Callithrix jacchus: one gene and its partner. The protein of the gene in region 2 interacts with the protein of the main gene of each other region in a biochemical or structural test. Links are inferred from orthologs where the notes say so. Each region holds a gene or a part of one and is shown on either strand. Other genes may lie near its edges.

Region 1 (3,819 bases), on a different chromosome or scaffold from region 2:
GAGGAGATAACTGATGGGAAGGAGGTGTCTGGGGCAGAGCCACTTGCTGAATGGTCCCAGAAAATAAGGACAGTATCTGTGCTTCCCCCAGTTGGGCTCCCAGGCTGACCAACAGGCCAGTGTGGTACCCATGGAGCCGGGAAGCACAGATTCTTGTTGAGGTGCTCAGTCACAGGCTTTACTTGGTCCACATGGGCATAGAGCCTTCCAGATGACTTTTAATTCAAGGCTCAGCATCACAGAACTGATTGACCAGAAAATCCAGGAATGTGTTGAGTACAGCTCTTCTTTGAGGCCATTTGGAGAGTGTTTGGACTCAGCAATACCAAGGCCTGCACAAAGGCAGGGTCTCGGTGTGAAAAGGGCATCTGCAGATAGTCACTCCACCCCAGGCCCCCATTTCAGTCTAAGAAATAGGAAGCAATCTCCATCCACAGTCCTTTGCCTAACAAGGGAACCAATGCAGCTGGGGGAAGTCCAGCCTTCTGCTCTCCGGTGGCTCTTCCTTGTGTGGCCACACCCTCTAGCTGTTAAAGGAGAAACTGCAGGAGCGGCCTCTTCCCTGTGGCAGGCTTCCACCCTGTCTTCTACAGCAGTGACTGGGAGGTTCTGGCTGGAAGATTGGCAGAAGAGGAAGGATCACACCTCTCCTCAGAGGAGTAGGTTTTCTCATGGCCACATCAGCTCTACCAGTCAGTCTGGCGGGACAGGTTTGGGGCTCTGAAACAGGTAGAGGCCATTGTACTGGAAGGTTGATAGTAGAGGAGATGCTTTGCTTGGGATTTGGATTCCTCCTGGCTTCCCCTAATCCCTGGTTCCCCTGGAGGAGTCCAAGAGCTGGCAGAGACTATTATGCATTGATAATCAGGGCAGAACAAGGTCAGAGACCCTGCTCTTCCAGCATCTGTCCTGTGTTCAGCACCATAAGGGCTCAGTAAATACTGAATGGTGGCTGAAAGGATGGTGACCTTGGGCCACCAGTTCTCTGAAAGAACTCTGGCTCTTTGGCTCTTTTCAAGCAGGAGAGAGTTGACAAAGGCATTGAGACAGACGGCTCCAACCTGAGTGGTGTCAGTGCCAAATGTGCCTGGGACGACCTGAGCCGGCCCCCCGAGGATGACGAGGACAGCCGGAGCATCTGCATCGGCACACAGCCCCGGCGGCTCTCTGGCAAAGGTGGGCGCCGTCACCCAGCCTTCTCCCAGCCTTTCTCCTTCCTTTTCCCCAGGCCTGGTTTCCAGGCTCTCTAGGATGGGTCTCTAACAAAAACAACCCATTCAATGGTTTATTTCCTGGCATGATTTAAACAGCAAGTAAAGTCTTCCAGCAGAGTGGAATTAAGGGAGCTTTACTGGCCCATTTCTAGCTGTGTTTCCTGTGTGTATTTCAAATGCATCACCAGCAGGCACCATTGTATTTTAGATTTGCCCCTTGCAATCTGAGGTCATAGAGGTCAGTGGAAGCCTTAGAACAGTTACAGGAAAAGTCCATAGTCCACCCAAGTGCAAGAGAACAAGTGTTGGCCACCCACGGAATTGACACAGGGCCCAGCTCTGGCCTGAAGGACATGCCAGATCCAAGGCTCACTCTGGCCTCGAGCCCTCCCAGGCCTTCGACAAGAGAGGCGTGAGTATGAGGCCAGCTTGCAAATTGCCCCACCTCCTGTCATACAGATACAGGGTTAGGCGATGTGGGCAGGGCCTCTGCACTGCGTTCCGGATGGGGTCTTGGGGAAGGAGGATGTGGCTGTCCTGTTGGAATCTCCCTATGCTGACCTTGGCTACAGAAACAGTTGTGGTTTTTAGCAGAGGACGTCCCCAAATAACTGCAAAGGAAAAGCAGCCACTTACATATACATGTGTTGACAGCTTCTTTGTCTACTTCCTTTCTTCATTCTTCCATCTTTTTTTTTTTTTTTTTTTCCTCGAGACGGAGTTTCGCTCTTGTTACCCAGGCTGGAGTGCAATGGCGCGATCTTGTCTCACCGCAACCTCCGCCTCCTGGGTTCAAGCAATTCTCCTGCCTCAGCCTCCCGAGTAGCTGGGACTACAGACACGCGCCACCATGCCCAGCTAATTTTTGTATTTTTAGTGGAGACAGGGTTTCACCTTGTTGACCAGGATGGTCTCGATCTTTTGACCTTGTGATCCACCCGCCTCGGCCTCCCAAAGTGCTGGGATTACAGGCGTAAGCCACTGCGCCTGGCCCCATCTTTTATTTTTTGAAGAATGTCTACAGCCCTAAATAAAATAAACATATGATAATACTTATAAAAGGTTTTTGTTCATTCTGTAAAGAACAAACTTAAACCCCTAGTTCAAATATTTGAGCCCTTTTTTTTTTCTTTTTTTCTTTGAGACGGGTCTCTGTTGCTCAGGCTGGAGTACAGTGGCTTGACCTTGGCTCACTGCAACCTCCACTTCACAGGCTGAAGCAATTCTCCAGCCTCAGTGTCCCAAGTAGCTGGGACTACAGATATACGCCACCGACGCCCGGTTAATGTTTGTATTTTTTGTAGAGTTGGGGTTTTGCCATGTTGCCCAGGCTGGTCTTAAACTCCTGAGCTCAAAACAATCCACCTGCCTTAGCCTCCCAAAATGCTAGGGTTACAGATGTGAGCCACCACACCCGGCCGAGCCCTTTCTTTCCTTCCTGTTTGTTCTAATGGTATGCCAAGCCTATTGGAGGCTTAAAGAGAGGGTATACAGTTATTAGAATCATTTGGTTGCTTTTGACCAAAGAGGTGACTTAAAGAGATAGTCATACTCTTGTCTAAGATTTCAAGCATTATTGGCTTTTTAAAAAAAATTATAGAAGTAATCCATCTCACTGTAACAAGTTAAATACTTAGAAAAGTTAGTAATCATCTCCTTCACAGTCTGAGGCCACTCTTTGAGCAACTAATTTTAATTTGCTTTTTTGTATGTGTTTACAATTTGCAGAGATAAATCTTAGATCCAAATCTCAGTATAGGGGACCAGAGTAGTAAGCTTCACCCCAAAGACCAGCAAAGCACCTTGTGAAGAAATAATCCCACCAAGGGAACTCTTTCACCTCCTGGCCCTTGCCTCTCCATGGAGAGGCAGAGTTTCCTGGGTTAGGCCAAGGTGAGAGATGATCTCAGTATCTCACTGACTTGAGTACAAGGGGAAGGGGTGGCAGGGTCAGATGCTAGTTGACCACCCAGAACCCAGAAAGGTATGTGAGAGGCAGCTTCCCATTCTTGGCAGGGTGCTTGTGGCCTTAACGTGCATCCATTCTCCACACAGAGACTGACCACTGGGGATTGACCATGTTAAAGGTAAACCTCAGGCCTGTGACACAGGAAGGAAAAGGATGGGAGAGACCACCCTTCTGAACTCTAGAATTCTGGCTTCTACAAGAATGGCACTCTTCCAAACCAGAGCTTCTTAAGAACATGCTTGTCCCCTCACAGTCTGTAGTCACTCAGCGCTCACATCTGGATGCATAGAAAGGACCAGCATGGTAGTTTTTCTTAGTACCTCTGCTAAGCCAGGTTTCAAGAGCAGGGTGGGAGTTGCTGGGACCCCACTGGGCCACTGGGCAACTTAGTGGTGTTGTTGCAGACACAGAGCAGATCCGGGAGACCTTGAGGAGAGGACTCGAGATCAACAGCAAACCTGTCCTTCCACCAATCAACCCTCAGCGGCAGAATGGCCTCGCCCACGACCGGGCCCCGTAAGTTCCCCAGTGTCCCAGGGCTGGAACAAGAGGACAGTTTTGTTCTGAAGGGCCTGTCCCTGTGGATTGCATGAGAGAGAACAATGTACATAGCCCTTGCTGGATGGGCCCAGGGTC
Region 2 (3,800 bases):
AGCTCACTGCAACCTCCACCTCCCAGGTTCAAGTGATTCTCGTGTCTCAGCCTCCCATGTAGCTGGGACTACAGCGCCTGCCACTATGCCTGGCTAATTTTTGAATGTTTAGTAGAGACCAGTTTTTGCCATGTTGCCCAGGCTGGTATTGAACTCCTGAGTGAGGTGATCCACCTGCCTCAGCCTCCCAAAGTGCTGGGATTACAGTGAGCCACCGTACCTGGCCCCTCCATGATTTTTAAGTTTCCTGAGGGTTCCCCAGCTCTGCTGAACTGTGAGTCAATTAAACCTCTTTCTCAGTCTCAGGTATGTCCTTATAGCAGTGTGAGAACAGACTAATACACGCTTATTTAAATCCTTGAGGTTTTAATCTTCTCTGTATAGTCACCACCCCAATTAGAAACTCGAAAACTCAAGTCTCATTTATTATTTCTGGGTTAGTCAAACCTACAAAATTCTATAATGAAACATACAAAAACACAGACCACTGCATGCATCATACCCCACCAGCATTAGGGAGGTCATTTACTGTCTCCGAAATAAAACAAAAGACACAGTGTTCTGTTTCTCTTTTATTGCAACCCATTGCAAGGTCAAAGATTCACAGAAATATAGAAACTACAAACTGGGTGAATTTTCTTTATTCACTCAAAAAGACATTAAAGACAAAGGACCAGAATTTTCCATTACAGCAATATATTTCATAGTCTTTATTCTGAAAATACTGTTGACATTTTGGAGAGAATAAAAAGCCCTGCATTAAACGTGTTCACATGTATTTACGACATTCTAAGCAAAAAAAAGAAACTCTATATTGCCCAGAAAAATTATTTTAAGCCTCATTTCAAAGCATCTAATGAGAACACATTCAACAACCATCACAGGATCACTCAAGGTGATGCTTTTTTTCTGGCTGTTTTTTTTGAGATTAATGTTTTGAGGCTGGATATGGTATTTCTATGGATTTCTACAAATGTACCAAAGCAGTTTCCCAGATTATGTTGCATCAGGCTTTCTGGATTAGTCAACATTTTAGAGAATAAGTGCAAGTCCCCACCCCACCCCCACCCCCCAAGCTAAAGCATGTTATAGTGCTGTACTTCAGATTCAAACAATGCAACATTTTAAAAAATCAATTATACACTCTGAAACCATTTGACAATCAAACTGTAACACTCCAAAGATTATTACAACTTTGAACTGAAATGGTACCATCTATATCATAGATGGCTCTCCCTTCTTTTGTCTTTTTAACTATTTAAAATATAGTAAGACATATATAAAAATTAAACTTTTGCATATTCACTCAAGCTACTATTACTATACATACTGTCTTATAAATTAGTTTTGGATTAAAAATCAGTTAAAATACTGTGAAATAAGAGATTTCAGTGGTGGGGAAGTGAATATGAAAATGATATAGTTCAACGTGTAAGAAGAAATATAGTTTATTCATGTTAAACAGTTTTGTTCTTACACAGATTTTATTTCCTTCAAATTAAATTAGAAACCCATTTAGTTGTGGGAAAAATACTCATGGTGCTTACTGACTAGATTTTTCTAACTGATTGGGATTAAAACAAAAATGCCACATCAGAAACATGTTGACATAATCAAAGGAAACAGTTGATTACAAAAAAAAAGAGAATCATTGGAAATCAGTAAATGGCATTCAAATATAAAGCTATCTTTTGTTTTTTTTTAACAGCTAATGTCATGTTAGCAATGTGGGACTTAAAGAAAGTGAAACTCAAACCTCAGTATATCTGTTAAAGACCAAATAACAGTTACATTCACTCAGGGAAGAATAAATAGCAAATTCACAAGTCAGGGTTTAGTTTCTACTTCTACTGTGAAAGATAATCACTCTTTAGCTTAAAAAGGCTCCCTGATGTCCTCATTATAAATCTACACACAGGAACAGTTATTTGAGCCTGAGTCCCTATTATGAATTAATTGTAAAGATGTGTTAAATCAAAACACATATTCATTTACTGATAGGTCTCGTCTTAACTGAAGCTGGCAATCTTTAATTAAACAAAGAAATGCTTATTTCTGACAACTGTAAACAGAATTTCAATGAACAGATTTTCTAATTTTCCTTCTTAACTCATATATTAGCTAGCAATAAATCTCTGTAGTAGCATGAGAACTAGTCAAAAATGACAACATGCATATATCCAAAAATCCTGTCCCAAAACCCAAAGCAAAGCAAAAAAAGCGACAACAGTAGAAAGATTGTCTACTTATACCTCACTCATGAATCTTCTATTAATGTGACTACCCTCTCACATCTCAGAAATAGACTTTAATAATTACCAAAATTAGGAAAATAATGAAATGATGTGTAGTTTTTAAAGTAACTGCACACCATTAATTACACTGGTGGTTACAATGCTAAGATTAGCTTCAAATGTCATTAAAATATATCCTGACCAGTTACCATCCAGGAAATAAAAGCTAACGCAATGGTAACATAAAAGCAACTAAAATTTTTAGTGCTCAACAGAATGCATTTGTAGAATAATGAATAATTAACTTTTGTGAGCTGGCCAGGGGAATTCAGATTGTTGCCTCCATATAAAACATTTACAATAGGCTTTATTCTTTCTAGTCCCTAAGTCACCCAACAGATAGCAAGTTGGCCACCCGTGGATACATGAAGTTAGGCAGTGCCACAGTGGATAACATGCTCCCTTAGTGGCCTGGGGGAAGCCTTCTCTGTTAGGAAATGATCTAGAAAGACACCGCCCTGGTGCAGATGTACACACATATGTGAGTATGTGAGAGAGTGTAAGTGCCTGCATGTGTAACATCACTTCTGTTGTAGTCATCATCAGTAGAAGTGCACAATTCATCCCACATAAAAAAAGGCCTTCTTATTTGGACAGCTCCAAGTGGCAGCAATTAGAAGCTCAAAATAATACATCCATTTTTTTGACTCTATTAAAAACCTTTTTTTTTAAGAGAAAGAAGCCTTTGAAGTTAAAACTAAAAGGTTTGTGGCTTTCATAATCTTTAATTTCTAAGAAAAAAAAAGCCAGCTCACTTGGGAACAAATGACAACTGCACTTTTGGTATGCAGCAAGACACAAATACACATACTTGAACGCACACAGACAGGTGACAGTTAAAACCCTTCTGAGAGATCGGCCCCACAAATGTACAATTCTCCTTTGCTCTGCTGAATGATCCCAGTGGACTAGGTGGGGCAGGAGCATTAGGAGGAGGCGGCAGACATGTTGGGGGTCCAGCCCATCTGATAGGCTCTCTCCAAGGTCCTCTTGCAGTCTTGCAGGACAGTGCTGAAGGTGATGTGGGGATACTGTTGCACCAGCTGTTCCACTGTCACTTCATTGACCTGCAAACAAAGAAGAGCCATATCACACACAGGGACTACCAACACCACCCGCTGCCCACGCTCACTGGTGTGCTGCAGCCAGCTCACTGTGGCATGAGGAGCCCTCGCCTTGTTCCTCCTAGTGATGTGAAGGAGGGTTTTGTGAGAAGGTACGTGTCTCCTTTCATCTGACCTCTCTGATCTTCCGGTAAAACACTTGCCCTTAGGGATTTTTAAAATACATAATACCAAGATATCAAAAGTGTTCTCTAGAGGCATAAATGACTGATTTGTCAAGATCTTAACAATGTCAATTGAAAATCTAGTGCTTGGGAGGGAAAGAAGCAGTAAGACAGCTTTCTGCTTTGCATTGGATTTCATCATCAACCCAACAGACTTTTGAGGACAAAAGCTGTGGAATGTAGGAGAGGATACACAGGATTCTAGACAGAGTGTTGGG

Evidence for each region.
Region 1: of the proteins of FBXL17 (region 2) and SUFU, one has a biochemical effect on the other in vitro, tested with the Homo sapiens proteins (2 studies listed by BioGRID, with this or other methods). The link is inferred for Callithrix jacchus from reciprocal best matches to the Homo sapiens genes FBXL17 and SUFU.

What each region holds. Positions count from the first base shown.
Region 1 is NC_133513.1:95,584,654-95,588,472, forward strand, and holds part of SUFU (suppressor of fused homolog), read left to right. Parts: intron 1-1,019; coding exon 1,020-1,176; intron 1,177-3,587; coding exon 3,588-3,699; intron 3,700-3,819. UniProt on the Homo sapiens protein: Negative regulator in the hedgehog/smoothened signaling pathway. Down-regulates GLI1-mediated transactivation of target genes. Down-regulates GLI2-mediated transactivation of target genes. Part of a corepressor complex that acts on DNA-bound GLI1.
Region 2 is NC_133503.1:102,275,587-102,279,386, reverse strand, and holds the end of FBXL17 (F-box/LRR-repeat protein 17), read right to left. Parts: intron 3,362-3,800; coding exon 3,221-3,361; 3' UTR 560-3,220; downstream 1-559. UniProt on the Homo sapiens protein: Substrate-recognition component of the SCF(FBXL17) E3 ubiquitin ligase complex, a key component of a quality control pathway required to ensure functional dimerization of BTB domain-containing proteins (dimerization quality control, DQC).